Callithrix jacchus: one gene and its partners. The protein of the gene in region 5 binds, or shares a complex with, the protein of the main gene of each other region. Links are inferred from orthologs where the notes say so. Each region holds a gene or a part of one and is shown on either strand. Other genes may lie near its edges.

Evidence for each region.
Region 1: UPF3B (region 5) and EIF4A3 share a complex: the UniProt entries of both Homo sapiens proteins name them as parts of the mRNA splicing-dependent exon junction complex. The link is inferred for Callithrix jacchus from reciprocal best matches to the Homo sapiens genes UPF3B and EIF4A3.
Region 2: UPF3B (region 5) and CASC3 share a complex: the UniProt entries of both Homo sapiens proteins name them as parts of the mRNA splicing-dependent exon junction complex. The link is inferred for Callithrix jacchus from reciprocal best matches to the Homo sapiens genes UPF3B and CASC3.
Region 3: UPF3B (region 5) and MAGOH share a complex: the UniProt entries of both Homo sapiens proteins name them as parts of the mRNA splicing-dependent exon junction complex. The link is inferred for Callithrix jacchus from reciprocal best matches to the Homo sapiens genes UPF3B and MAGOH.
Region 4: the proteins of UPF3B (region 5) and UPF2 are in contact, whole or in part, in a crystal structure (PDB 7NWU), measured with the Homo sapiens proteins. The link is inferred for Callithrix jacchus from reciprocal best matches to the Homo sapiens genes UPF3B and UPF2. Residues at the interface, in NP_542199.1 of Homo sapiens: Lys52, Arg56, Arg57, Tyr79, Glu81, Phe83, Asn85, Asp86, Thr87, Ser88, Leu89, Tyr90, His92, Tyr94, Arg96, Tyr98, Ile130, Glu132, Pro135, Phe136, Lys138, Ala139, Ala140, Arg147, Asp148, Lys150, Val151, Gly152, Thr153, Ile154; in NP_056357.1 of Homo sapiens: Lys767, Arg768, Pro769, Pro770, Leu771, Glu773, Tyr774, Lys777, Lys790, Arg793, Gln794, Arg796, Lys797, Leu798, Pro799, Trp800, Gln801, Cys811, Ile814, Asn815, Trp817, Tyr837, Gln838, Glu839, Asp840, Ile843, His844, Val846, Asp847, Gly848.
Region 6: UPF3B (region 5) and MAGOHB share a complex: the UniProt entries of both Homo sapiens proteins name them as parts of the mRNA splicing-dependent exon junction complex. The link is inferred for Callithrix jacchus from reciprocal best matches to the Homo sapiens genes UPF3B and MAGOHB.

The regions. Positions count from the first base shown.
Region 1 is NC_133506.1:135,886,330-135,890,993, reverse strand, and holds part of EIF4A3 (eukaryotic initiation factor 4A-III), read left to right. Parts: intron 1-709; coding exon 710-782; intron 783-3,106; coding exon 3,107-3,173; intron 3,174-3,486; coding exon 3,487-3,549; intron 3,550-4,433; coding exon 4,434-4,566; intron 4,567-4,664. UniProt on the Homo sapiens protein: ATP-dependent RNA helicase. Involved in pre-mRNA splicing as component of the spliceosome. Core component of the splicing-dependent multiprotein exon junction complex (EJC) deposited at splice junctions on mRNAs.
Region 2 is NC_133506.1:71,777,725-71,782,388, reverse strand, and holds part of CASC3 (protein CASC3), read right to left. Parts: intron 3,945-4,664; coding exon 3,880-3,944; intron 3,283-3,879; coding exon 3,168-3,282; intron 2,931-3,167; coding exon 2,832-2,930; intron 2,582-2,831; coding exon 2,370-2,581; intron 1,463-2,369; coding exon 1,340-1,462; intron 1,189-1,339; coding exon 1,165-1,188; 3' UTR 1,124-1,164; intron 747-1,123; exon of another isoform or gene 1-746. UniProt on the Homo sapiens protein: Required for pre-mRNA splicing as component of the spliceosome. Core component of the splicing-dependent multiprotein exon junction complex (EJC) deposited at splice junctions on mRNAs.
Region 3 is NC_133508.1:90,378,258-90,383,466, forward strand, and holds the start of MAGOH (protein mago nashi homolog), read right to left. Parts: upstream 3,078-5,209; 5' UTR 3,008-3,077; coding exon 2,920-3,007; intron 432-2,919; coding exon 373-431; intron 1-372. UniProt on the Homo sapiens protein: Required for pre-mRNA splicing as component of the spliceosome. Plays a redundant role with MAGOHB as core component of the exon junction complex (EJC) and in the nonsense-mediated decay (NMD) pathway.
Region 4 is NC_133508.1:2,072,768-2,078,098, reverse strand, and holds the start of UPF2 (regulator of nonsense transcripts 2), read right to left. Parts: upstream 3,671-5,331; 5' UTR 3,281-3,670; intron 1-3,280. UniProt on the Homo sapiens protein: Involved in nonsense-mediated decay (NMD) of mRNAs containing premature stop codons by associating with the nuclear exon junction complex (EJC).
Region 5 is NC_133524.1:115,825,692-115,830,789, forward strand, and holds the start of UPF3B (regulator of nonsense transcripts 3B), read right to left. Parts: upstream 3,220-5,098; 5' UTR 3,183-3,219; coding exon 3,027-3,182; intron 1,955-3,026; coding exon 1,848-1,954; intron 1,682-1,847; coding exon 1,575-1,681; intron 1-1,574. UniProt on the Homo sapiens protein: Involved in nonsense-mediated decay (NMD) of mRNAs containing premature stop codons by associating with the nuclear exon junction complex (EJC) and serving as link between the EJC core and NMD machinery.
Region 6 is NC_133510.1:12,486,955-12,492,202, forward strand, and holds the start of MAGOHB (protein mago nashi homolog 2), read left to right. Parts: upstream 1-2,116; 5' UTR 2,117-2,193; coding exon 2,194-2,287; intron 2,288-4,984; coding exon 4,985-5,043; intron 5,044-5,248. UniProt on the Homo sapiens protein: Required for pre-mRNA splicing as component of the spliceosome. Plays a redundant role with MAGOH in the exon junction complex and in the nonsense-mediated decay (NMD) pathway.

The DNA of each region.
Region 1 (4,664 bases), on a different chromosome or scaffold from region 5:
TGTTTGTAATAGAGTCAAACCTAGAGAAGTAATTAGAGTAAAGTAAGCTTCTTCCCACTTCTCTGCTGCAGTACTGCCGGGAACATTTTGGCACTTAAACTTCCAGATGCTGCGCACCCAAAAGATTTAAAAAACAACAAAACAGAACTGGGGTCTCTGTATACTACACCTTGGTGGTGCTGTTTAAATAGAGATTTGTCTTTACAAATGACATCCCATGTTAGTGTAGAAATCCTCTCAGCCCAGTTCATTGAGCCTCTGGGGCTTCAGAGCTTGCTATGTTGAACATTGGGTTAGGCTGGAGGGCGGGTTCAAAAAGCAAACCATGTCTGCCCCTGACAAGCTCACAGTACAGGGTTTCTTTTTTTTTTTTTGAGACGGAGTTTCGCTGTTGTTACCCATACTGGAGTGCAATGGCACAGTCTCGGCTCACCGTAACCTCCGCCTTCTGGGTTCAAGCAATTCTCCTGCCTTAGCCTCTTGAGTAGCTGGGACTACAGGCGCGCACCACCATGCCCAGCTAATTTTTGTACTTTTTGTAGAGACGGGGTTTCACGTTGTTGACCAGTATGGTCTCGATCTCTTGACCTCGTGATCCACCCGCCTTGGCCTCCCAAAGTGCTGGGATTATAGGCGTGAGCCTCCTCGCCCGGCCAGTATAGGGTTTCTATGCTGTCATTGTGAGAGCTAATTTTCTGTTTTATTTCAGGTTTTGAAAAACCATCAGCGATCCAGCAACGAGCAATTAAGCAGATAATCAAAGGGAGAGACGTCATCGCACAGTAAGTCGTCCTGCTGTCAGCACAGGCTGGATGCAAGTCGGGGCAGTACAGTTAGATGCTCTGGGATGACCGTTTTCCTCAGTTTCTACACGTTCAGTACCAACGCTTTCCCTGACTTTAGCCACAGGGTTTAATAATTTTTAAATTTGTGTTCTCTACTCTAGAAGGCTTTCATTTTTTTTTTTTTTGGAGACGGAGTCTAGCTCTGTTACCGGGGCTAGAGTGATCTCGGCTCACTGCAGCCTCCGCCTTCCAGGTTCAAGTGATTCTCCTGCCTCACCCTCCCCGAGTAGCTGGGATTACAGGCGCCTGCCACCATGCCCGGCTTAGTTTTGCATTTTTAGTAGAGACAGGGTTTCAGCCTCTTGGTCAGGCTGGTCTTAAACTCCTGACCTCAGGTGATCTACATGTCTTGGCCTCCTAAAGTGCAGGGATTACAGGTGTGAGCCACTGTGCCCAGCCGAAGGCTTTCATTTTCTTAGCCAGCTTTGCTTAGTGGTTTTTGGTGTGTGGAATTGTATGTAACACAATTTCGGAAAAACAGACTGTGCTTTGCTTCTGCTCTCACACCACCACCACAGTCATCAGCACAGAAGAAGACTTCTGTGACCAGAGGTGTGGGGGTTTTCCAGCTGGGTGTCCTTCAGGTCAACTCTCATACCATCTGCCTGGAGGTGGGCCATGTCCCACAGGTCAAGGGCTCAGTCTCACAACTGCCCTCTTTTCAGATCTCAGTCGCAAGTCTGGACGTCTAGAACTTGTGACCAACCAGCTTCAAGTTGAGGTTCCCACGGCCCCCTCTTTAGGTTGGATTGATTTGCTGGAGCAGCAGCTCAAAGAACGCAAACACATTTAGTGGCTTATTATTCAGGGTACTGCAAAGGATACAGATGTGGGGAAGGGGTGCAGCCTCCAAGAGGCGGGTGGTCACCCTCCCAGAATCTCCTTGTGTTTGGCTATCTGTGCTCAGCCATCCAGAAGCTCTTCGAACCTGGTCCTCTTGGGTTTTTATGGAAAATTCCACGAGGTCAGCATTCCTTCCCCCTAGGGTATAGGGCAGGACCTTCTCTGGAATAATATCATGATGCTTTTGAAAAAAAATTTTTTTAATTTTAATTTTTTCCTTTGAGACAGGGTCTTACACTATCTTCCAGGCTCCCATGCTGGAGTGCAGTAGCGTGATTACAGCTCACCGCAGCCTTGACCTCCCAGACTCCAGCGATCCTTCCACCTCAGCCTCCCAAGTAGCTGGGACTACAGGCACACATCACCATGCCCAGTTAATTTTTGCATTTTCTGTAGAGACAGGGTTTCATTGTGTTGCCCAGACTGCTCTCAAACTCCTGGCGATCTGCCTGCCTTGGCTTCCCAAAGCTTTCAGATTACAGGCATGAGCCACTGTGCCTGGCCTAAACACTTTTTTTTTTTAAAGATACGGGGTCTCCCTTCATCACCCAGGCGGGAATGCAGTGGTGCAGTCATAGCTCACTGCAACCTCTAACTCCAAGGATTAAGGAATCATCCCACCTCAACCTCCCCAAGTAGCTGGGACTACCAGAATGTGCCGCCATTCCATAGTTAGTTTTTTGTTTTGTTTTGTTTGGAAGTGGGGTCTCTCGCTGTATTGCACAGGCTGATCTTGAATTCCTGGCTTCAAGCAGTCCTCCTGCCTCTGTGTCCCAGAGTGCTGGGAATACAGGCCTGAGCCACCACACCATGGAATGAGGGTCTTATGACTCACAGTCTTAAAGTCAGGGGAGATTAGAGCCCTGCTGTGGAGTAGGTGAAAGGAGAGAGCAGAAGGTTAGAGAGACTTTCCTGAGGCCTAACAAACCCATCAATCTAATAAGACTGTAACAGGGTTATGGAGCTGTGAGTCAGGAACTGTGCATAAAAACCTAGATACAGCTATATCTCCTCGCACCACAAATCCTCTTTTAATAGCTTTATTCCTCATTTGCCTAATTTAAAAAAGACTCATTTACATACAGATTTCTTTGGAGGAGTTAGTCCAAAATCATAGAAGGAAAAGAGTTGTATTTAGATAAAGGGGTATCCTCCTTTTACTGACACCTATGAAACACCTCTTGAAGTTAGTCTTTTGCTCCATTGCCCCCTTCAGAAGCCATGTCTACTCTCCTCATGGACACCTAAGAGCTATGACACTGGGCCTGAGTCCCACCTCCTCGCAGTTGAAATGTTGTTGGGTACGGGAGCTTCTTGGAAGAAGGTACCCAGGTGCCTCTGGAGCCCAGCCCTTAGGACACAGCGGTGGAGTGGCCTGTCCTCCCTCTAAATCCCACTGCTCTTGTTTTCTTGAATAGGTCTCAGTCCGGCACAGGCAAAACAGCCACCTTCAGTATCTCAGTCCTCCAGTGTTTGGATATTCAGGTAATTTGCCACTCTTAAAACAAACTGTTCTGTAGTTCTAGGGGAGTCTTAGTTGTACGCTAATATTGGCACTAACTAATACTCTGTCATGATTTCCTTCTTAACTGGAGGAAATTCTTGTCTGCAGACAAGGATCTAGACTGACACATTCAGTTATTGCTGGATTTGCAATTTAAATGACAGTAAGATTTGCCGACCTCTGTAAGAGAAATCTGATTAATATGAGATACCGTTCCTCATAGATCTGAGTGTGAATTACTGCAGTCCACCCTGTTAATACTGAGGATTCTCTGTTTTCTGATAATTTCACCAGGTTCGTGAAACTCAAGCTTTGATCTTGGCTCCCACGAGAGAGTTAGCTGTGCAGATTCAGAAGGTGAGATGGCTGAAGATAGTGGGGTCCGATTTGCAAGTACTGCTTTTGCGATTTAGTTGTGAAACACTCATTTATAATCCAGTCCTGTTTTCTGATACCTCGACCTGCTGAACGTTTTGCCATGAACCATTATATAAATTGCTGGTTTGTAGTAAGTCATTTTTAGTGTGGCTTGCGTGCTCTCAGTAGTTTTTTGCAGCCTTAGAGTGTAGATTTTTCAGCAAAAAATCAATTTTAATAAAAATAGGCCAGGCTCAGGGGCTCACGCCTGTAACCGCAGCACTTTGGGAGGCCGAAGCAGGTGGATCACCTGAGGTCAGGAGTTGGAGACCAGCCTGGTCAACATGGTGAAACCCTGTTTCTACTAAAACTACAAAAAATAAGTTGGGTGTGGTGGTAGTTGCCTGTAATCTCAGCTGCTTCCGTAGCTGAGCAGGAGAATCGCTTGAACTCGGGAGGCAAAGGTTGTGGTGAGCTAAGATCATGCTATTGCACTCCAGCCTGGGCAACAAGAGTGAAACTTCACCTCAAAAATAATTATAATAATAAAACAAATTGTACCTATTTTATACTTACATAGCATAAGATACATATTTTAAAAGATAGCTATTAAGATGTTAATGTGGGTGTTTTTGGTAGATGGGATTATGAAATTTATGTATTATGTTCTGCTAATAGTATAGCTTTTGTAATAAGAAACCAGCAAAATTAACCTGAAATTGTCAGAGAAAATTGCAGGAGAACTTTGTGGTTTCGAGACATAAATAATGGCATAAGTAATCATTGGTGATGGTCTCAGAGTAGAAGCCATTTTTCTTTCTGGGGAGATGTGGATGTTGCTGACTCTGTCCCACCCCCGGACATGAACCTGTGCTTTGATTTAGGGCCTGCTTGCTCTCGGTGACTACATGAATGTCCAGTGCCACGCCTGCATTGGGGGCACCAATGTTGGGGAGGACATCAGAAAGCTGGATTATGGACAGCATGTTGTTGCGGGCACTCCAGGGCGTGTGTTTGGTAAGCACTTTCGTCACTAAAAATGGTACTGCCAATAGTATTTGTAAGACATGTGTAAATGGTACAGGACCGCTTCCAGTTTGGCAGGTCACATGGAC
Region 2 (4,664 bases), on a different chromosome or scaffold from region 5:
CCACTGCTTGCACCATTTACCATAAGTTCTTCTGTGAGACCAACCTGGATACCTATGACCCTTACTTGATCGCTATGTCTTCCATTTACTTGGCTGGCAAAGTGGAAGAGCAGCATCTGCGGACTTGTGATATCATCAATGTGTCCAACAGGTACTTTAACCCAAGCAGTGAGTCCCTGGAGTTGGACTCCTGCTTCTGGGAGCTCCGAGACAGCATTGTGCAGTGCGAGCTTCTCATGCTGAGAGTTTTGCGCTTCCAGGTCTCCTTCCAGCAACCACACAAGTACCTGCTCCACTACCTGGTTTCCCTCAAGAAGTGGCTGAACCGCCACAGCTGGCAGCGGACTCCTGTTGCCGTCACTGCCTGGGCCCTGCTGCGGGACAGCTACCATGGGGGGCTGTGCCTCCGCTTCCAGGCCCAGCACATAGCTGTGGCAGTGCTCTACCTGGCCCTACAGGTCTATGGAGTTGAGGTACCTGCTGAGGTCGAGGCTGAGAAGCCATGGTGGCAGGTATTTAGTACCTTACCAAGCCAATCATTGATAATATTGTGTTTGATCTCATTCAGATTTATGCCATGGACACAGAGATCCCCTAAGGCCCTGGCCCAGGCCTGCCCAAAGAGAAGCTCAGGATGGTCAGCTGCCTGGGGACACTGCCACCACGTCGACATGATGGCTGGTCCCCAGAGAACCAGCTAGGAGGACTGGTTATGCTGCTGGAGAAGGGCTGGTGAAGGCGATGACATACTGCCACTTTGACAGTACCTAGAAGTCGCGGTCCAGATGATGATGGGAGCCGCGCCTCCATCGGGCAGGCCAGGAGCACACTGTGTGCAGCTGACCCAAGGCAGACACATCTGCTTTTGTCCTTTGAGAGGACTCTGACTACAATAGAGGCATGACGTCAATGAAATAGATGAGACTGAATCCCTAGGGATTTTTTAAAAACCAGATTTATAGCGAGAGTGAATGTGCAACAAGGATGAAATTTATTTTGTGTAATAAAATGTGATACTAATCGACAGAAAAAAAAAGGAATTAATTAGGTGATTTTGTTTGTTAATCAAGTAAATGTGAGCATTAGTTTTAAGAATAATATTCACAGCAAGTTGTGCACTTACTTTTATATGATGTTAAGATTTAAAATATTCAGAAACTCAGATTAACTGGAACCCCTGCTTACAACCTGAAATAATAAAGTTGGAATTTGTTATCAGGTCATACCAAAGAGACCATTTTCCATAGAAACACACCCAGAAAAGAAGGGAAATCCTCTGGGGAGAAGGAAAGCCCACTGATGGAGCATGTGCAATAGGTATGGGAAGGAGCTCTCATACCTCAGGTGGAGGGGGCTTGATGGTGACTGGCTGGGGAGTCCTCCGGGGTGGGGAGGGCTTTGGTTGCACCTGCTGCTGGGCGGGGTTATAGTAGGTCACTCCTCCATATACCTGCGATGGGGCCTGGCACCCGATAAACCAGGAGAAGAAAAAGTTAGGAATGAGTTCATCCAATCTATGATAAATAGGAAATATTATTCAGCCACAAAAGAGTATTGGGTTATTTATAATTTTTTAAATATCTAAAATCTGCCCACCCTTCAAAATAAAGTGACTATTCATTTCTGCCTTAATTCATCATTATTATGCTCTTGTTTCTCCTTCTTCAAAGTACTACCCAGATTTCTCTAATTTCTACCACCAGCTGACAAATGGAAAAGGCTGAGTTCAGTGGTGACACTTCAGATGCTGGATTATGTCAACATGGTGGAAGTTAAGCAGGACAAGGGTAGGGGTAATAAAGAGTACAATACAGCTTCTTTATGTAACAGAATAAAAAGCAGATATTGCCGCCTATGACGTACCACAACACAGGAAAGAAACACCATTAGAGAAACTGAAGGCTGGGTGCAGTAGCCCATGCCTGTAATCCCAGCACTTTGGAAGGCCAAGGCAGGTGGATCGCTTGAGGTCAGCAGTTTGAGACCAGCCTGGCCAACATGGTGAAACCCTGTCTCTACTAGAAATACAAAAATTAGCTCGGCGTGGAGGCAGGCGCTGTAATCCCAGCTACTCGGGAGGCTGAGGCAGGAGAATCGCTTGAACCCAAGAGGTGGAGGTTGCAGTGGGCTGAGATCACACCACTGTACTCCAGCCTGGGTGACAGAAAAAAAACTGAAAAGAATAAAGATGATGGGCATTACATAAGCTGCATTTCCAGTTCCTGACCACTAAGAGGCGTCCTGGTGCCACATAAAAATCAGTGGCATTGAAATGTTTTCTCAAATTCCTTTAGGATTCTCCCCATACCACATTCCTGTCTGAATTAAAGGATGTGTAGCTAGAAAAACATGCTCATTAACCATCTCACCTGCGTATTAGGATATAGATGAGGCGGCGGTGGGGGAGGCAGTGCCCCTGGAGCATAAGGGTAACTGGGATTACCAAAGATAACGCCTGGAGCAGAAAAGTAAGTAGGAGCAAGCAACTGCTGAGGTGGTGGCTGTCCAGGAGACATGGACACTGGTGGGGGATAGAGACCCGGATTGGGCAGAGGCGCTGGTGTCTGGTGGGGATGTAAACCTGGATAAGGAGAAGAAAACAAAAATTGAAAAAGAAAGTAACACCATTTTCATAGGATGGCCTGGCTGGACTGCTCAGCATAATGAGGCTCAGGATGGAAGTCCTCAGGATGGACACAAGAGGAATTTGTTGCCCAAGGATGGCCACACTCACAGGCTAGCAGCACAGAGCTGAGGAGGATGGGGTTTGTGGCACTCCTAACATACATCCTCAGGTACCGGAGGTATACAAGCACAGGTACAAAGCTTACCTGGGTGGGGAAGGTGCATTTCTGGCTGCACAAGCATGCCCTGTGGAGGCAGCGGGGCAGGGCTGTCACCATGGGTATAGATTGGTCCCTGGAACTGTGCTGTAAGATATCACATTGGGACTCTCATAAACCCTTACTCTTCACATCACATGGACAAGTCACCTTGTCCCCCAAACCCTTTAAAAGATGTTCTCAATATTGCATGTGAGGAAAAGAGCAATCAGACAATGTTTGATAAACACTGAGAGGTCAGAAGAGAAATTCAGGAGCCAGGAGCCTGGTGTCTTAGTTCACTTCACCCTGCCAAGAAAAGTACCCCAACAAGAAAAAACTCACGTGGATCATAGTAATGTCCCTCCACGATACTGATATGCACTGGAGGGGCAGGGGGCTCTGGCACAGGTCTTTGCCGCTGGGATGAATAGCGTTTGGCTCGACCACCCTGGACACCCTGAGACAAAGAAAGAGGCCTGAACAAGAATTCTAGAGGGCTCTCATATCAAGTCCTACCTTCCTTTAGCTGCTGCAAAACACTTGGTATGTGTGGTACATGGCAGGTGTTTAATAGGTATTTGCAAAGTGAGTTGAAAAATAATCAATGAAAGACATCAAGATTTGAGATCCAAATTAAAAGAAACATGGATAATCAATGGGAAAGCTGACTTTTGGATCTTACCTTGTTTTTGTTTTTTTGTTTGAGACGGAGTTTCGCTGTTGTTACCCAGGCTGGAGTGCAATGGCACAATCTCGGCTCACCGTAACCTCCGCCTCCTGGGTTCAAGCAATTCTCCTGCCTCAGCGAGTAACTGGGACTACAGGTGCGCACCACCATACCCAGCTAATTTCTGTATTTTTAGTAGAGACGAGGTTTCATCTTGTTGACCAGAATGGTCTCAATCTCTTGACCTCGTGAACCACCCGCCTCGGCCTCCCAAAGTGCTGGGATTATAGGCGTGAGCCACCGCACCCAGCCCTTATCTTGTTTTAAACAATGAACAAGCTATGTAAAGCAGCCTCCTCCCCCATCGACCCCTTTCCCCTCCTGTACCATTTCTTCCATCCGGTTAAACTGAGGTGGAGGTCCTGCTCCCATGTGTATATGGTTGGCCATACCTGTAATACACGGAAAAAGTCACTTCTGCAGGTCAGACATATGTGAGTGGGACTTAAAGATACCATTAAGAAAATGACAGGTTTTTCATTTGTTTTTTTTTTTTTTTTGAGAAAGAGTCTCACTCTGTCGCCAGGCTGAAGTGCAGTGCTGCGATCTCAGCTCACTGCAATCTCTGCTTCCTGGGTTCAAGCGACTCTCCTGCCTCAGTCTGCCGAGTAGCTGGGATTACAGGCATGTGTCACCACGTCTGGCTATTTTTTGTATTTTTAGTAGAGACGATTTTGCCATGTTGACCGGGATGGTCTTCATCTCTTGATCTCGTGATCTGCCTGCCAAAGTGCTGGGATTACAGGTGTGAGCCACAACACCCGGCTGAAAATGACAGGTTTAAGTGTCCACATGGGAAATGGCTTTCTTCTTTTAACTAATAAAATTCTCTATAAATTATCTCTGCTGTCAACATCAGCATTTAGAAATTTGTCCCCACTGTCTGCCATCTTAATATAGTAATAAAGCCTTTGAACATGAAAAATGACTTCAGTGAAGAAAATCAAGTTCAAATTTTTCCTATCAAATTGTTCTCTGCATCTGGGAGATTATAATTAGCACATTACATTATCTGACATATTGAAAAATCTCAGCTCAAGAGTTTCTGAGCAACAGCTGGACAAGGGAGGGATGCTTTGTAAATCTACTTGTTATACCCCATTCACAGAGCT
Region 3 (5,209 bases), on a different chromosome or scaffold from region 5:
TATAACCTATTTAATTTTATGACAGCACTTGGGAGTGGGAGGTAGCTGTTATTATCCCTGCTTTTACAGGTGAAGAAACAAGGACTTATCAAGTTCAGCTAGCAACTTGCCCGAGGTCACATGGGGTAGTAGGCAGCATACTCAGGGTTCAAACCAAGGTATGTCAATGGTTACCAGTAGTTGATTCCACATTGTAAAAGAAAAAAATACCAACTAAAAGATGATTTGGGAAATAATCCAGAAGCTGTCTACAGACATGTGTTTTTCTCCCTGTTCTCTACCTTTCAGTACTACCAGAAAGAACAAAAAAATGCAAGACAAAAAGCTGAAATGTAGCAAATGAAGGACTCTCAGAAGGCAGAAGACTCATACCTCTTTTCTGATCATGACATCATTCTTGTAATTGCTGTTGTTGGCGTATCTTAATTTCCCTGTGGGGGCAAAAAACAAATTCCATGTATAATAAAAACATATGAATAAAAGCATCAATACATACCAAGACTATCAGCAGTTCCCTAAAATGTATCTAACTTGCTCAAAGTGTCTAATAGATTTATTATTTACTCTTATGGTATATCAACAATACTAGTCTTTTTCAGTTCACTTCAGGCTTAAACAGCCAAATATACAGCTGACACTCTACTGCAAAACGCAGCTCAGGTGAGATATAAACACAAGCAGGCTCTTTTCTGACATTGTCAAATCACATTTTTGCAGGTTAATATCCTGAAAACAGGCATAGTAATTGATAACTTACCCGTACATAGGACCTCCTGAGGCTCAAATGAGTTGTGAAAACATTTTGAAAACTGTAGGATGCTGTTTACATATATTATCATGTGACTGTGCCACCCTCTATTTCTGTGATGGAAAAGCTGTTGCTTTTATCACTGAGCATATTTGGTACACCAGACCCTTTGTCCATGGGTGCATGTAATAGGTTAATGTGAGTATATGGTGGGGATGAGGGGAAGATAAAAGTAAATAGAAGACATGACTTCTCCTGCCGTAGACTAGAAGACATACATGTGAGATGAGCCAAATGAATTTATCCAACAGCCTCTGTGTTGTGTCTCTGCCTCAAGTTTCTTCACATTCAGTTCACTGTCCATACGGTGGACGCGGTGATGTGGTAACAGACCTATCAGATTGGGTTACTCTAATATTTTAATACAGTTAATGGCTTTCCACTGCCTTCCTGGTAAAATCCAAACTCCTCAACATGGCATACAGCTAAGCTGGCCCCTGCCTGCTTTTCTAGCCTCACTCCTGCAATATTCTTCTCTCACATGGCTGGAGTCAAACTATTTGGTATTCTGTCTGAAACATCCCAAGCACTTTTTGGTTTTCAGCCTCTTTGCATGTTGTCTAAAATGCCTTCTTGACTCTTGGTCTCCTAACCAATTCCTCACATCCCTTTCTCCCACATCATTTTATGTAGGAAGCCTTCTCTGACCCTCTGGCTTGGTTAGGTGCCTCTTCTCTGCTGCGAGCCTCCTCTGTTTCTTTTTACCACAACACCCAATACACTGTTTCATCACTGTTTGCTTATAAATCTATCTCCCTCACAGTCGAGGCCTGTCAGTTTCATCTTTGTGCCCCACTTAGTGGATGTTTTCTGTTATCTTTGATTCCTCTTTCCTTCACCACAGTGCCCCCTCAACAAGATCCTATCAATCAGCAAAGTCCAACTGTTTCTGCCTCCAACAGTTTCCTAAACCATCCTCTCCATTTCTACTGTTGCCGTAGTCCCAACCAATAACTTTCTTGTCTTGACAACTGCAACAGTCTCCTCCTAATCAATAGCCCTGTTTCCACTCTTGCCCTTGTGCACCCAATAACCAGAATGCTTTTTCAAGAACAGATCCCATTTCTTCTCTGTTTAAAACCTTCCAAGTCCGGCTGGGAGCAGTGGCTCACGCCTGCAATCCCAGCACTTTGGGAGGCCAAGGTGGGCGGATCATCTGAGGTCAGGAGTCCGAGACCAGCCTGGCCAACATGGTGAAACCCCATCTCTACCAAAAATACAAAATTAGCCGGGTGTGGTGGTGGGTGCCTGTAATTCCAGCTACTCGGGAGGCGGAGGCTTAGAATCTCTTGAACCCGGGAGACGGAGGTTGCAGTGAGCCAAGATAGTGCCACTGCACTCCAGACTGGGCAAAAAGAGCGAAACTCCATCTCAAAACAACAACAAACAACAACCCTTCCAAGTCCAAACAACAACAAACCTTTCAAGTCCAAAGCTTTTACCATGGTCTTTAAAGACTTACAAGGTGTGGCTCCTACCTACCTATTTGACGTCATCTCCTGCTATCTCTCACCTTATCACTCTTTAACCACACTGACCACTTGAGAGGCATGCCTAGCTCATTCCCGCCCTGCAGCCTTGACATTTGCCAATCCCTTTGGGTGGAATGGTCTTCCTCCTGAGCTTCACAAGGCTGGGTCCTTGTTGTTAAGTAGGGATCGGCTGCAATATACCCTTTACAGAGAGCTCTAATGGTCAACCTATCTAAAAGCAGCCCATCCAGCAATTATTCTACCTTTTTTTTTTTAATCACTCACTACTATCTGGAATCATCTTTTTGTTTATGATCTCTCTCCCGGCACTAAAACACAAATTCCATGAGAGGGGAAGTTTGTCTACCTTCGCTGCCGTTTCCCCAAAGAGTGGAACAGAGCCTGGCACACAGTGAGCGTAAGGTCAACACTGGTTAAATGGATTAAAAAAAAACAAAAACAAAAAAACCCTGGAGCAGACACAGGGGCGTTCCTTTCAGATTCTCGCTGCACAGGTCTCAGTCCCTTCCTCCTGTCTTTCCACACTGATTTCCGACCCTCCGCCTCCCGACTCCGGGCAGCCTGTAGCCCGCCCTTATCCCTGGTCCCCGCTCCCGGCAGGCTACAGGCTGCTTTTACCGTCTGGTCGGAACTCAAACTCCAGGAACTCGTGGCCGAACTTGCCCTTGTGCCCCACGTAGTAACGTAGATAAAAGTCACTCTCCATGGCTCGCAAAAGACAACCGAGACGGAACCTCGAAGAGAAAGCCGCACCGCCGCGGTCTGCGCCCGACACTGACGTTTGGGGCGGCGCGCGGAAGTGACGTTACCACGACGTCGCGTAGTGGAGGGTTTCACTCTTGCTAACCTCTTCGCCCGGAAGCGGCAAAAGACTGCTACACGGGTAACGAACTTTGTTTAGTCCGGAGGCTGGGCCGAGCAGCTCGGTCCCTCCAGCTGGACGCGGGAGCGAGGTTGAGATTTGACCCCTCAACCCCCTGGGTTTTCTCCAGGCCTGAGGCCGAGAGCCTACCGCTCACCAACCTCTGGGCTTTGAACGAGGAGTTCAGAGACCTCACTTAAAGACCTCGGGCCGAACACCCCGAGCCTTGCACCCGCCAGGCTCAACCTCAGTTCACAGGACTTCCGACTTGTGTGAATCGTACACCGCTCTTTACCGTCTCTGCACCTAGGTCATCTCGGCAGTAAAGTGGGGTAAAATGACCCGAGCTCCTCGGAGGACGCCGCGCACGATATGTGCCTCAAGTTGGCTTCCACTGACCTGAATGTTAAGAAAGCCGTCCTCTCTGTCTCAAAAAAAAAAAAAGAAAGTCGTCCTCAGTGACGCTCTCCCTGAATCCACAGTGGAGATTGCCATTTCCCTGGAACTAATTCACTCACACTTATCCATTGCATCCCTTTCTACCTTTTATTTCTATCTTTCTACCCCACTGGTCTCCAGAATAGGTGCTTGAGAAGTTAAAGTGAGTATTTGATCTCCCATTACTCATCCCATTTACTCAGCAGTGATTCTCAGCCTGGCTGCGCATTGCAATCACCTGGGAGCCTCTAAAAATACTGATGCCAGGGCCCCAAGCCAATTAAAATCTCCACCGCTGGGCCTGGGAATTGGTACTTTTTATAAAGCTCCCAGGTGAGTCAGAGTTGAGGACCACTGACCAAAGGGGCTCGCTCTTTTCAGGGTAAAGTGATTGTCCTCTATGAAGCCTTTCTGGCTCTGAAAAAATGTACAGTTGAGTAGGCCCAGGGCAATCAAGATCATAATTTTATAATAGGAGCCTACTTTCATTCATCTAAGTTCCAGCTTAGAACGAATGGTTCTAGAGACAGTGCCTAGATGACATCATTCTTGGGACCTGGCAACTAGAACTGGGGACAGGAATCAGACAGGACCGCAGTCTTGATTCCTGTCCCCAGTCTTAACATTGAGTCCTTTTCTCCCTGAAAAAGCATTAGAAGCAGAGTGTAGAGTAGGTGTGGTGGGGGAAAATCACTGGAGATGGGTTAAAATAATCGCTTGTGTAACAGTGACTCATTGTAACTATAGGTGAACTGACTCAACTTTTTAGACTTCAGTTTCCTTCTCTTTAAATGAGCGTAATAATGTACACCTAGCAGAACTGTTATAAGAAACAATTTCAAAATTGCTATAAAACCATAAGGCATTTTTATTACAAAACACTGGATATGGGTAGTAACAAGGGAATTGTATAAAAGAGAAGGGGACTAGACATGGTGGCTCACACCTGTAATCTCAGCACTTAAGGAGGCTGAGGCAGGAGGATCACTTGAGCCCAGGAGTTTGAGATCAGCCTGGGCAACATAGGGAGACCTGGTCTCTACAAAAAATTTAAAAATTAGGTAGGTGTGGTGGTGCACACCTGCAGTCCCAGCTACTTGGGAGGCTGAGGTAGGAGGATCATTTGAGCCTGGGAGGTTGAGGCTACAGAGAACCATGATCACACCACTGCACTCCAGCCTGAGTGACAAAGCAAGACCCTATCTGAAATAAATAAATAAAATAAGAGAAAAAGAAAAGGGAGCCACCATGTATCAAGTACCTAATAAATGGCAGCCCCTAGGCTGAATGGGATTACATGTGCTTGTTCTTCGAACCATCACAACAATCTTGAGGTGGTAATTAGAGTTAAGTAGAGGTGTTAAGCAATTGCTACAAGGTTATTTTCCAAGAGTAAAATTATAAAAATATAAGTGAATCTGGCATTTGCAGATGTGGCAAATAACAAGAGAAATTTAAAGGACACGCAACTCCCATCAGGCTGTAAAGTAATCCAGGTTTTTGGATATGAGACATGGTATAACTGAAAGAGCATGATCGGTGTCTGCAGTGTCTGCATTTGGTATAACTTATTGAGCATCTACTGAGTGTCATGTGCAGAGAGGATAC
Region 4 (5,331 bases), on a different chromosome or scaffold from region 5:
TTGGGTAAAATATACCGGAGTATTTTGTGGGACACTGCAAATCTGGTACAGCAATAACTGCTGGGGACTCTAAGAAAAGAAACAGGTTATATTTTGCACTGCTACTGGAAGTTTCCTAGAAGTATGACATTATTAAAAAGTAAATTACTTTTTAAAACAACCATATCAATAATATGCCAGAAAAGCAGAGACATCACCAAAATCCACTATAGAGGCTACGCTTCATCCAAAGCTGTGAACCCTTATAAAAGCCTCAATGTCAACAGACTCCACTTAGTAGGTATCATTATACTTACTAGTATTAGAGGCTACTGTGTGGAAACATTAGTGTTACGGCACAGTGTGGATATTAGTGTTAGGACATGGTGTATATATTATACTGGTGATGGAGAACAGTGCAGATATTACATTAACATCAGGAAACCATGTGGATAGTATTACATTAGTACTAGAAGCAACGGTGTGGATATCAGATTAGTGTTAGAGTATGGTGTGGGTATTATATTGGTGTTAGGGCATGGTATGAATATCATAGCAATGTTAGGACATGGTGTGATTATTATATTACAGGCCACTGTGAGAACATATCTTAGCAGCCACTGTGTCTGGATGTTGACAATGATATCAGGGTGTAGCTGTAATAATGGGATTTGGGGATTTCATTTTTCTAGATGAATTTCTTTGCTGAGTACTCTAAAGACTCTCTTCTCTGCACTCACAGCTGTGAAAAGGAAGCTTTTTACTCATTAATGAAGAAGACTTAGTTGACACAACCCTCGTGCTGCCCTGGCACCTCAGAGGGAAGTTGGTCAGGAGTGAGTTCACATACCCTTTGGTGGCACCAGAGCTCAGCCCAGACACTCTTGCTCAGTTTCTCAGCAGATGTGCACCCCCACCTGGCTGTCCTGAAATACCTACAAAATTCAATATTCAGTTTCTTCAATGTAATAATTTTGGAAACTCAAGCCAAAATGAAGCCCACTGTAGCCATATTCTTCCCAAAAATGGTGACAGAAGACTTTGGAAGCCATGTAGAATGAAATGACTATATACACGAAATAAGAAAAACAAAAACCTACTCAAAATAGTCCAGAGACTGTAATATGAAATACAAAACTATAAAAAATCTAAAAGAAAATCTAGATGACATTGGGTTTGGTGTTGAGTTTTTTTTTTTTTTTTTAATTTATTGTTTATTTTTTTTAATTAGTAGAGACGGGGTTTCACCATGTTGACCTGGATGGTCTCGATCTCTTAACCTCGTGATCCACCCCGGCCTCCCCAAGTGCTGGGATTACAGGCTTGAGCCACCGTGCCTGGCCGGTGTTGAGTTTTAATACACAACATCAAATGCCAATTCACGAAAATATTGATAACAGACTTTATAAAACTACATATTCTACTGTGAAAAACTGTAGATAAAACAAAAAGACAAGACAGACGTGAGAAGATTTTACACAATACATATGTGATTTTAAAACTGGATAAATATCTGAACAGATAACCACAGCAAAAGCCATGGTGGATGCCCATCTCTACTAAAAATATAAAAGTTACCCAGGCATGGTGGTGCATGCCTGTGATCCCAGCTGCTCGGGAGGCTGAGGAAAGACAATCGCTCGAACCTGGGAGGCAGAGGTTGTGGTGGGCCAAGATCACACCATTCCTCTGCCCTACTGTATATGTGAAAATGCAGATTCACTGAACCAGACTAAATTGTATTCAGTGGAAGGCTGATCAAGGATTCAAAAGGATGCAACCTTTTGTTTTATCTACCTCTGACCCAGAAGCACCCCCACTTCCTACTTCCGGTTGTTCCACCTTACTGAACCAAAAGACTGTACATCTTACACACATTGATTGGTGTCTCCTGTCTCTCTAAAATGTATAAAAGCAAGCTTTACCCTGACCACCTCGGGCCCATGTTGTCAGGATCTCCTGAGGCTGTGTCATGGGCATGTCCTTAACCTTGGCAAAAGAAGCGTTCTAAATTGGCTGAGACCTGACTCACGTATTTTGGGATCACAATCTGCAGTCGCCATGGTGTGACAGTTGACTACAGCATTCAGTACAGAGATATGCCATACAGGTTTGTAGCATGGGAGCAATAGGCGACACCATATAACTTATGTGTGGAGTGGGCTACACCAGCTATGATTTTAAAGGACACTCTATGGTGTTCGGACAAGAATGAAATCACCAAGGACAAATTTCTCAGAAAGAATTCACATCATTAGGAGATGCTTGAGTGTATTTTAAATGATTAAAGCCTAAGAGAGAAAAAAAAAAAAAAAAAGAAAAAGAAACTCAACTCCCGTTATGGTTTAATAAAAAAGCTTAATAGAGTTAACATATTTCATCTAACCTAAGATGCTAATGATGAACAGACATTATTTTACGCACCATCACAAATAGGTTGCCAATTAAACTGACTTTCTGAACAACATAAATGTGAATTTACTTCTATTAATGCCAGTAAAGTAAAATGAAAATGAAGTATGGTTTTGACATGTTAAAGCAAAACAGGAGGAAGCCGTTAGCCTGAGGTATTGCAAAGCAAACAGAAACCGAATTGGAGGCATTAAAACTGACTTCAAAACATTAGCAAACCACCCAGTGAATGACAATAAGCCCAGCCGCCAGCTGGCTGTATGATTAAGGACGCTGAGGGAAGCATCCCACCAACAGGTGGTCGCCTAGCTGGAGCCAAGGAGAAACCTCACTTAGCTGCCACCGCTAAGAGCTCGAAGCCCCAAGCCCTGCTTTGTGTTCTGGTGCTTCAGGTGTGATTCACGAATCATTCCTTTGCTTAAATAAACTGTTTATTTTGCCTAAAATTCTTCTAGCCCCTAAATCCTAACACATAACCGGTAACCCCCAACTCTAACCCTAACCCCTAGCCCTGATCCTCACCCTAAGCCCTAACCATACGTTAGTTTCTGCGTTTGCACTGACAAGTCAGTGTTGACAATTCAGACTGCTGTATGGGCCCGGCCGCATGGGCAGTGCGGATTATATAGTAACATTGTGGACTGAGGCCCTGCATGAGCATCACAGCTGTTTTCTACATGAGCGCTGCGGGTGTTGTATTGGCATTTCGGATGTCATATCTGCCTTAGGAACGCTCCATTTGTATTCTGAGGCTGCGGTGTGCACCTCGCACTGCAGCCGCGTGGCCTTGGCTTGGGAGAACCTCGGTGCTCAGGATTCAGAGGGGTTTTTGGGGTCCAGGTTTCCACACCGAGATCTTACTAGTGCAAACAGGAAAGATTTTACTCACTGTGGACACGGCCTAGACTTGTCCCAAAGTGAGGCTTTGCCCACTAGGTCTATGCTGTGGAGAACACAGCTCCATCCTCGCAGTGTCCCCCAGGTCTGCAATGGGACAATGAAACTCTGCAGACCGCCGAGATGCAATGCACGCTGGTACCGTGACACCGTCTGAAAAGGCGGGCTCGGGCGCCCCCTGCTGGCGGATGGGCAGTGCAGTGCCCTCTTGCTCCCGGTGATGTGCCCCCGCCCTCTTCTGGCGACTAGGGCCACTGCAAGGCCCTCTCCCAGTAAGACACAAGCCCCAAGGTCTGTGCTGAACAGGAGGCAGCTCCATCCTCGAAGCGCCCCCAGATCTACACTAAGGAGAACGCAACTCTGCAGACCGCTGTGACGCGACAAAGGGCGGCACTGTGACCGGACGCACATCTGCGGCGGAGCCTCAGGAATCTGAAACGGCGGGCTTGGGTGCCCCCTCCTGGTGGAGGACTACTGCAGGGCCCTCTTGCTCACACTGCAGTGGCAAGATGCCCCCTGCTGGCAACTAGGACAATGCAGCGTCCTCTTGCTCACTGGGCTGGGGGGCTGTGCATATGCACATAAGGTGCACCTACATGTACACAGTGTGCAACTACACGTACATGTGCACATACTGTATATCTGTACCTAATGTAAACATCATGCAAATGTGCACATGCTGTATGTCTCTACATAATGTGCACATTATGTACACGTGTATATATGGTACATCTGTACATAGTCTGTACATTATGCATACGTGAATATACTGTGTATATTATGTATACGTGTACATAATGTACATCTCTACATAATGTGCACATTATGTACACGTGTATATATGATACATCTGTACATAATGTACACAATGTGCACACATATGTACACGTGTCTATATAGTACATATGTAGATACTGTGTACATTATGTACGTTTACATATTGAAATGCCAAAATAAATTATATGTACATAATGTGTACAATCTGTACATTTACTGTGATACTACGTATTATATATATATTTTTTGTGATTTCATATATGGTATCATTGTGACATTAAAATAAATGTACATATCATACACATTATGTACATATAAATGTACATATTGTACAGATTATGTAAATTTATTGTGTATAGGTATTTTGTACACATTGTACATCACAGTAAATGTACATATGGTACATACAATATACATTTATTGTAATATTCCAAAAAACATACACATTATAAGTATATTCCAGGATATTATTTTTAGTATATTAGAAAAAAATCACTCCTAATATCAAAATGGGTATACACCCATGTGTGTCCATTTTGTGATATTATCCATCATATCCTAAGTAGGTATTACTCTCATTGTGAAAGCAAGTGTACACTCTGTGATTGTTCCAATATCACAGGCAAAGTAAAATGCTTCTGTGATGTAGTTAATCATATCCGAGGGACAAAGGATGACCATACCCTGAATATCGCAGGAAGTGTACACCACCACTGTAGTATTGTTTCTAATATTCAAAAACGGAGAGAATATTACTCCAAATATCTCAGAAAGCACACAAGCCCCCTGTGATATTGTTTCTAATACCTAGGGGATTACAGATGACATTACTCACGATGTGACTGGGGCTGTATGCCGGTCCTGTGATATTGTTCCTAATATCCAGAGAAGGAGAGGAGAATGTTGCTGTCCTTATGGAAACACTCTGAATACGGCAAGAGGTGTAAACCACACTCTGATATGGTCATTCATGTCCACAAAATAACAGTTATATTGAATTAAACATTGCAAGGGGTGAAACCCCCCTGTGCTTTCAATTCAAATGTCAAGGGGGGTGAGGATGACATTTTTGTCAATACCACAGAGGTGTAACTAGAGCTAGTGTTATTGTGCCTAATATATATAAAAAAACAGAATAACATTACCATCTCCCTATGATATGGTTCCCAGAATCATATTACACCATATTTTCAAAATAGCCAGTCCCTAGCAGCCAGGGTGGGCCTAGGGGCTTCTACAAGCCCTCTGGTAAGGGCTGTGGGCACA
Region 5 (5,098 bases):
CAGCCTGGGTGGGGCCCATCTCAAGAAATAAACAATAAATTGACAAGATTCATCACTTACATGTAAGAGATTTTTAAAAAGGAAAAAATTAAATGCAACTCAGATTTCCAGGCTAAGTAACTAGAATTTAGTGATTTAAATATCTAAATAAAATAGTTGGAATAAAATAGTTGGAGTGGAAAAACAGCTGGCTTGGGGAGATTAATAAAAGTTGGACAAACAGTGGCAATCCTTCAATTTTCACTGGCATAGTCCCTGACAAAGATTTAATTTTTACCAACTTTGAAATAATACTGAAAGAAACCAAAATTAAATAAGGAGACACACTATTTATGTATAACTGCAAACCAAAGAAAAGTGGCAATTTAGACATTCTCTGGCTAAATGTTGTAAGTAGCAGACAATAGAGTGTTAAAGCAGAAATGTGTCTTCCCTATAGACTGGACCTTCCCGGATGTTAAGGGCCGGGCGAGGTGGCTCATGCCTGTAATCCCAGCACTTTGGGAGGTTGAGGCGGGTGGATCACCTGAGGTTGGAAGTTTGAGACCAACCTGACCAACATGGTGAAACCCCGTCTCTACTAAAAATACAAAATTAGCTGGGCTTGGTGGCGCATACTTATAATCCCAGCTACTTGGGAGGCTGAGGTAGGAGAACTGCTTGAACTCAGGAGGCAGAGGTTGCAGTGCGCCGAGATCGTGCCACTGCACTCCAGCCTGCACAACAGCGAAACTCCATCTCAAAAAAAACCATAAAAACAAAAAACAAAGTAAGAGATATATCAAGTTTCATGTTTTATATACAACTTTGTGAGAATGTTAAACAGTATCTCAACTGGGAACTGTTGGCTTAATGGATCTGAATTAAGTAAATGCTTGTCCTTGAAGCAAACTATAAAGTAAATATTTAACACTTATCAAACAAGTTGAATAGTCACTTATCAGTACTGTGGCTGAAACTCTATATTCAAAACAGCGGGTTTAAGCCAGGGCAAAAAAATCTGTCACATGAGGAGAAAACAGTGGCAATTTCACTCAGTTGATCAAACTAAAGAAATAGTAGGTTATGGCCAGGCACAGTGGCTCATGTCTATAATCCCAACACTTTGGGAGGCCAAGGCGGGCGGATCACCTGAGGTCGGGAGTTCGAGACCAGCCTGACCAACATGGAGAAACCCCATCTCTACTAAAAATACAAAATTAGCCAGGCGTGGTGGCACATGCTTGTAGTCCCAGCTACTCAAGAGGCTGAGGCAGGAGAATCACTTGAACCTGGGAGGGGGAGACTGTGGTGAGACGAGATTGCGCCATTGCACTCCAGACTGGGCAACAAGAGCGAAAACGTCTCGAAAAAAGAAATAAAAAAGAAGTAGTAGGTTAATAAAAATAACTGAGGGCTATGAAAGGTAACAAAGTAACATGTCTATTTGTAACACTGCAATAAGCTTATTGAATGTGTTAACACTATTTAAATGTTGCACATTTTATCCCCCAGGAAACAACACAATGCATATATTGTCTTAAACATCCAAATGACAAAGAAACTCCCTTTTTACTTCAGTTACCAGCACTCACCTTTATTGTCAAGGAATACATAACCATCAAAGCGATCCCTGAACAAAATAATGTCCTCTTGGTTTTTAAAGTTGATGTATGCTCTGGCATACATATGAGGATACAGACTGCAGAAAGGAAAGCAATTATGTAAATGTACTTGCAGGTGTCTGGCCCAATTACAAGTATGCATATATTAAAGACAAGCTCAAAAATCAAATGAAAAACAGTAGGATAAAAAGAATGGAAGAAACCTTTTTTTATTTACCCCTTTCCTCCTTTTTTTTTTTTTACCTCGTATCATTAGAAAAAAACTCAAAATAATCATGTTCAGGCATAGGTTGAAGATGTTCCTGAAGTTGCTCCTTGGTCAAAGTGGGAGGTAATCTTCGAATTACCACCTTAAGAAAGGCATAGGAAAAGAAAATTAGTGCACATCAATTTTCTGTCATACTTGAAAGAATCACAGTTCCTGAAGAAAGCTGGGCTTTAAAATATGAGATCACTTGTAAAAACCCAGGAGGAAAAAAAAAAAAAAAAAACAACCCAAGAGGAAATATTCTTCTGCAGCCCAATGCTCAGAATTAGTCACACATAATAGTAACACGGTTTAAAAAAAAAAAAAAAAACCCTTGGAAATGAGAACCGCCTGGAACAAGGAAATCTCAGGTTTTTCTCTTTACAGCTGCCCTGCAGTTTACCAAGTTTGTGCATCAAAATCGAAAAGATCACCCATTTTTTAACAAATGTAGTGGCAAGAAATTAGCAAGCCAACCCTGGTCTTTGTGGATGCCACGAAATCTTGATTCAGTAACAACTTTCTCCGACATACAACACATCTTAAAACAAAATCCTTTTCCATTCAACTTAAGAATTCAAAACTCTAAAAATCCACCCATTGCTCTCAAAATAGGATGCTCTCGATCTACCCTCCCATACCATTAATACCCCTGCACAACTCGCCTCCGTTAATTATATTCCTATTCCCTCATGTCCCTTTCACTATTTTTCTCCCCCATTACACCTTTAGTTTCTCTCTCTCTCTTTTTTTTTTTTTTTTTTTTTTTAGTAGAGACGGGGTTTCACCATGTTGGTCAGGCTTGTCTCGAACTTCCGACCTCAAGTGATCCGCCCACCTAAGCCTCCCAAAGTGCTGGGATTACAGGCGTGAGCCTCCATGCCCGGCCAGTTTCTCATTCTTTTTACCGTTGCTCTCCCCTCCCATTATCATCTCACAGCTCTGACCTAAACCCTTCCCGTTTAGGGAGTCCCCCTTTTCCTCACCCCCACCAGGGTTTGGCCGGGAGAGGCTCTCCCCATTTCGGGTGACTGGATGAAACAGGATAATGCGACTTCCATTCAGGTGAAGAGATAGAAGAGAGAGAGAAAAAAGGGGCAGCCCCATTCCCAGCCATCCTCCCAGCACTCGCGGACCCGTCCCACCCTCTCCCGGGCCAGCGGCCGCCTCGGCACCTTGCTCAGCGCCTCTTTCTTCTCCTTGTTGCGATCCTGTTTATCTTCCCCCTTGGAACTGTCCCCCGAAGTCCCACCACCGCTGCCTGTGGCTCCAGGGGGCGTTAACAGGGTTACTCGCTTCTCCTTGGGCCTGTGCTCCTTTTCTTCCTTCATGGTTACGTCCGTCACGGAGGCGGCTCGGCCGCAACGCGTTACACCCGGCACCAACGGCTCCCGGGCAGCTCGCGTCAACGCTCCGCCCCCAACAAAAGCCCGTGGTGATAAGTCGGGCCCCAAGTTCCAATGGGCCCTGCCAAGATATCGCGAGAGTTGGGCCTTTCTCAGTGCAAAGGTTTCAACACCTGGCTTTTACTTCCAGCCCGCCAAGTTCTTGCGTCACCCTATCCCCTCGCGGCCCAGACTCCCTCGGGGCAGCTCCTTCGCGCGTCATTAGCAACTCCGCCATCTTGAAGTGACTATATCGGGAACTACAAATCCCGGCATGCAAAGCAGCCAGAGATAGCTCAGGGTCCCTGTTTGTAAGCAAATTGAATCCTTTCATCTTCAGAGATTTTCAGGTCGAAAGATAGGTTCTGCACGCTCAGTTTTCATCAGATAAACTCAATGCCGTCCAAATTTTGCCTCACTATGGGAGCGACTTGTATTTTCTATCATTGAATTCAGAGGCTTTATAATTTATTTTCCTACAACTCAAAGAAAAAGCCTGACATTTTTAAAAAGAATTTATTTTCCTTATATTGATTAGGATTTACAGACACTTAATAAACACTACAGTATTAGCCGAGTTCAGTGGCGCGCGCCTGTAGTCCTAGGCTCGGTAAGGCTTAGAAGGGAGGATCTTGAGCCCAAGAGTTCGAGGCTACATTGAGCCATGATCGGGCCACTGCACTCCAGCTTGGGCTTGGACAACAGAGCAAGACACTGTATCGAAAAAAGAATAATAATAAATAAACACAAGATACTGATATTTAAAGAAGTAATATGAGCAAAATATACGAGATTTGTTTTCATCACCTTATTTTAGCAAAAGGATTCTTCTCCCCAGGTACTGATGTCCCACAGGGAGGGGAATAAAAATAAAACCAGCTTGATTTAGTTGTGATCATCTTCCTCTTCACTTAAAAAAGGGCCAATTTTGGCCAGGCGCGGTGGCTCACGCCTATAATCCCAGCACTTTGGGAGGCCGAGGCGGGTGGATCACAAGGTCAAGAAATCAAGACCATCCTGGTCAACAAGGTGAAACACCATCTCTATTAAAAACACAAAAATTAGCTGGGCATGGTGGTGCGCGCCTGTAGTAACAGCTACTTGGGAGGCTGAGGCAGAAGAATTGCTTGAACTCAGGAGGCCGAGGTTGCGGTGAGCCGAGATCGTGCCATTGCACTCCAGTCTGGGTAAAAACAGCGAAACTCCGTCTCAAAAAAAAAAAAAAACAAGGCCAATTTTACATTATAATAACTCCGAACTGGAAACAATCCAAATATTCTGAACAGGGAAAAGGATAAACAAAATATGGTACATCCATAGAATGTAATACTACTCAGCAATAAAAATGAACTGTTGATATACTCAGCAACATAAGTGAATCTCACAGTGATTATGTTAAGTGAAAGAATCCAGATACAAAGAGAGTACATGTTGTATGATTCCATTTATATGAAATTTTAGAAAAGGTAAAACCACAGTGATAGAAAGCAGGTCAGTTGGCTGGACGCGGTGGCTCAGGCCTGTAATCCCAGCACTTTGGGAGGCCAAGGTGGGTGGATCACCTGAGGTCAGGAATTCGTTTGAGACCAGCCTGGCCAACTTGGAGAAACCCTGTCTACTAAAATGCAAAAATTAGCCAGGCGTGGTGGTGGGTGCCTGTAGTCCCAGCTACTTGGGAGACTGAAGCAGGAGAGTCACTTGAACCTGGGAGGCAGAGGTTGAAGTGAGCCGAGGTCATGACACTGCACTCCAACCTGGGCAACAGAGTGAGACTCCATGTCAAAAAAAAAAAAAAAAGAGAGACACACACAAACACCCATGGAGGACAGAAACCAAATTAAAGATGCAATAGGAGCCCAAGG
Region 6 (5,248 bases), on a different chromosome or scaffold from region 5:
ATTTCAGTGAATTATTCTTATGGTAAGTATGGTGACCAACTTATCTGAGTTTTCCTGAGTGTTTCCAGGTTTGGAAAGTCCCATGTCCCAGTGAACTCCACAGTCCTGGTCAAACTGGAACAGCTTGTCACCCTAGTGAGAAAGCATAGTGCTTCCTGTTTCTTATGTATTTTCCAAAATGGTGACCTATTGTAGGGATTGATTCACTTTTCTATATTAATAGTTATATAACTTCTAATATGGACTCAAGGTAACTTGGCCCAATCTGCCTTTTTAGTCATTCTACTTGAACCCTCTGCTCTAGCTATACCAAATTTCTTGGCTTTCCCAAAACATGCATTTTCACACCACTGTCTTTGCTCAGTTCATTCTCTGCTGGGAATGCTTGTTCATACCACTAAACATACACAGAACTTACTTCTCAAGGTCCAATTCAAATACCTCTGTTGACAAGCTTTCTCTTTTTTCAAATTTCCCTACTCTGCAATAGAATGCATTTGCTTCCTCTGCTGTATTAGCAGCATGCTTTATATATATTCCTTTTATTTTATTTTATTTTATTTCGAGACGAAGTTTCACTCTTGTCACCCAGGCTGGAGTACAATGGCACGATCTCGGCGCACTGCAACCTCCGATTCCTGAATTGAAGTGATTATCCTGCCTCAGCCTCCTGAGTAACTAGGATTACAAGTATGTGCCACTACACCAGCTAATTTTTGTATTTTTAGTAGAGACAGGGTTTCTGGACTTGAACACCTGACCTTGGGTGATTAGCCTGCCTTGGCTTCCCAAAGTGCTGGGATTATAGGCATGAGTCAACATGCCTGGCTATGTATATTCTTAATTATCTTAAATATATTAAGAGCAATTAGCAATTGCTCCCTTGTGCTGATATTTGCCTTACATATTTGCTTTCTTTTCTAGACTACCAGTGCAAATGGCTCATTTCTAGTTTCAAACTTTTTGTCACATAGGAAATGTTTGTTAAAAGCTGTTTTATAAAATTTAAAGCTTATTTTACATATTATTCTCATTTGATCTCTCAAGAATTCTGTGAATTTGACAAAGTAGATTGCTCTATATGCATAAGACTGATGAACAAACAGGCTTAGAGATAGTGACCTGCCCAAGGTTAGGAAGCTGTAAGTGTTGGGATTGAATCCCAGGTCTTCTCATTACTTTTTACTAAATTCCATTGAAGGTTATCAACCGACAGACAGGATTACTCTGTGTGTTGGTAACAAAAGGGTGATCAATCATATTTGAAAAACAGACTTTAGTCTTTTCCTTTCCTTCAAACCCACCCCACAATGGAGCATTCTTTCATGCCTCCAATTTAATTCCACCTGGCGAGAAACGTGGGCTAAATATCCTTATTATATCTTAAATCAAATTGCCAAAACTCCACAGGCTACTAAAAGTTAACCCTTACTGAATGCATGAAAAACCTTAGAAGTTCTGCTGTTAAAAGCACGGTGACTGTCAGGATTTTTCAGTGTGTGTGTGTTTTAAGACTTCAGCTCTTCCGTATGATGGATTCCTTTGACTTTGTCTCTATTATTATAGACTTGTAGCTGTTATAACTGTCAGGGTTTTTCAGTGTGTACCAGCGTGTCTGTGTGTCTAAGACTTTCAGCTCTTTCGTGTGATAGATTTCTTGGACTTTGTCTCTATTATTATAGGCTTATAGTCCAGGTAACTACCAAGCATTATCCAAAGGGGAAAGCACCCTGTTAGAAACCAAGAAAAACGGTTTATACTCCCAGTCTGCTATTTCGATTCTAAGCTTTATCTTTATTTAGCTCACAGTTAGAGGCGCATGAAGCCACACCCACCTCACAGATGCCAGACTGGGAGACCAGAAAAGTAAGAGCGACTTGCAAACCTTAGCTCTAAATCCATAAAAAAGACTATCATATGCTCAGATTTCTAGTTTTTGCTAATATACTATAATCCTTATTTTGAAAATAGTGTGCTTCCAATCCTCTTAAAGCGTAAGTCACGTCGCTGCGACCCTCCCTTCGGTGACTCCGGCCTCTCAAGCGACACTCGGCCTTCCAGCTTTTCGGCAGGGCTGCACCGAACGAGGAAAAGCGGCGCCTGTGGTGACGCACGTATTCCGCGCAATGACGTCACTGCCAGGCGCCGGGCGATACCTTGTGTCTGTTTTCGGCGGGCTTAGCAGGGACAAAAATGTCTATGGCTAGCGATTTCTATCTGCGCTACTACGTAGGGCACAAGGGCAAGTTTGGGCACGAGTTTCTGGAGTTCGAATTTCGGCCGGACGGTGAGAAGAGGCCCACGGCACGCGGTGCTAGGAAAGGGGAGCGAGACCTAGAGTCCGTGGAGAAGGCGAGGGGAGGCCGGGTGGTGTGGGGTGAGCCGAGCTTCTGTAGGCTTGAGAGTGTGCAGGGGGCGGAGGCCACTGCTTTCCCCGAAGGAAATAGGAGCTTAAGAATATAGGAGGCCCAAGTTGGTTTTATAAAGTAAAGAGAATTGCTATAAATTAAAGCTAATCCTGTCACAAACTGAAAAGTTGAACCTACAGTAATTATAATTTTTTAACAGTGCATCTGAAGGGACTTGAAAGGTTCTGGAGATGGTCGCCATAATTAAAAATGCTAGCATCTTTTTGAAAACACCCCCACCATTGGTGGTCCAATAGATGAATAAAATCTTGCAACCAGTACATTTTGTTCGTTCAGGCTGTGTGTGTTATTTGAAGGGGAGGAGCTCGACGTGTTAACAAATGAGAATAATAATATGTTTTAGGTGCTTAAGTATAATTGTTCACCACAGCATGTATATAGAGTATCAAAAAAGAGGAGAGAGGCAAAGTTCCACAGGAGGGAATCAGGAAAATCTTCCTAGATGACGACACTACTGAGATGAGTCTGGAAATGAGAGACTTGGCCTTTGAGAGAGAAAAAAACCAGACTTCCAGAGCAGAATGAGCCGAGGACCAGGTGAAACTGCTACCCATGTAGTGTGCAACAATTTGTGTTTTCTGACAGCACTATCCTTAGAGAATGTTACATTGATCTTGCCTACCTCCAACAAGAAAGTTCATTTGGAAACATATTTTTTGGGTTTTTTTGAATGCACATTTTGTGCTGGGCAACAAGCAAATACAAAATTTGAAGATACAATAGTAAGACTTAAATTTAACTCAAAGAGATTGGTCTTGGTGGGAGACACAGACGTTTAACTATAAGGCAATATGCATATTAAGTCCTATAAGCATGTTTTGGACAATGTTCTGTGAGAGCAAGAATAGAAAATTACAGGAGGAGTGTATATTAGGAAAAGAGGAGAGTACCAAGCACTTCAGACGGAACTCACGTTAACTACAGTCCTGCAGTTATTATTTTTTTTGAGACAGGGTCTCACTGTGTCACTCCGATCTGAGTGCAGTGGCACAGTCTCAGCTCGCTACAACCTCTGCCTCTCGGGCGCAAGTGATCCTCCCACTTCAGCCTCCCGAGTTGCTGGGAGTAAGGCCCGTGACACCTCTCCTGACTCATTTTTCTTTTCGGTAGAGACAGGTTTTCCCATGTTGCCCAGGCTGGCCTCAAATTCTCGAGGTCAAGTGATTCAGCTGCCCGAAGTCCTGGGATTACACGGATGAGCCACTGCACCCAGCCAGCCCTGCAGTTATTTAGAAACCTTAATCGCTGTATTCAACCTTACTCTCTCCATAAATTCAGCTAAATTTACCTGAATTGATCTTTCTTTAATATTATTTTCAGTTCCTCTGCCTGTGAACAACATCATGCTTATCCCTATCCCTTTTAGCAGGTCACATAAATTAAGTACCTGAATATTATCAGGGAAATTGTATGGTAGAACAATGGTTCTAATCAATGTAGCTGCCACCGCGCCATTCCACATACCTCCATTGGTAATAGTGAGTCCTGAAGACTGGCATCTTTTTTCTTTTTCTTTTCTTTTTTTCTTTTTTGAGACTGGAATCTTGCTCTGTCGCCCAGGCTGGAGTGCAATGGTGTGATCCTGGTTCACTGCAACCTCGGCCTCCTGGGTTCAAGGGATTCTCCTGCCTCAGCCTCCTGAGTAGCTGGGATTGTGGGCATGCGCCACCACATCCAGCTAATTTTTCACCATGTTGGCCAGGCTCGTCTTGAACTGCTGACATCAGGTGATTCACCCACCTCAGCCTCCCAAAGTGCTGGGATTACAGGCATGAGCCACTGTCCCTGGCCATCAAAGACTGGCATTTCCATCATTTTAGAGTATCTGCAGTACATTGTACCTGTGTCTGGGCAACTGACTGGCCATAAGGGGAAGTATACATCAGAGAATACAAAAATCGTGATGGATTAAAATTAAATATAAACCAGCCAACAAACTCACCAACTTTGACCCAGAAGCATTGTTTGTATGCTTCTTAGTCATAATTCTAAAATGTCTGCATTATCATAATTGTATGCATACACTGGAAGGAAAGAAATTAAAACATTTTGTGTAGTGGAGAAAGCATGAGTATTGAAAGAAAGTAGATTTAGAGCTGAATCTTGTGTGACCCTGGTTAAGTTACTTTGTTTTCTCTCCTATGAATACGTGAGATAATAAAACTTGTTTTTTAGGGTTGTTTTAAAGATTAAATGCTCTGGGTAAGACACTTAGCACCAATACGGACATATAACAAACTTGAAAGGAATGTTAGTGCCTTTTGCAGATTCTCTTTCTAGTTCATGATGTAGCTTAAGAAAACAGGCCTTAAAAATGACCCAATATATAGTATAGGCATGGGCTATTTAAATATTTGGCCACCTTCAACTTCAGCAAACTTAACCAGCAAATATTTATTGTCTACATTTCTGCATCTTACACAAGGAGGGAGGAAATACTAATAAAAGTAGTAGTATCAAATGGTTTTTGCCTTCATAATTGTATACAATGTCATTAATTTTTTTTTGGCAGTTTTTGCTATTATAAATTGATTTTTTTTCTCCACTTCTCACAGGAAAGCTTAGATATGCCAACAACAGCAATTACAAAAATGACGTAATGATCAGAAAAGAGGTAAGTTATATTCAAATGTCTTTTAGCCCATTTTCTTCAAGTGTGTGTTGAATTTACAAAAATACATCTAAGTTTCCATTGTAAATAAGAAGCCAATTTATAGATAGAAAGGCATTTCTGTTTCAAATAGATACAATTGTTGCATCCATAGTGATGAGAAAGTTCAGAGAACTAACTGTGATGTGAACTATACTTGCATTTATCT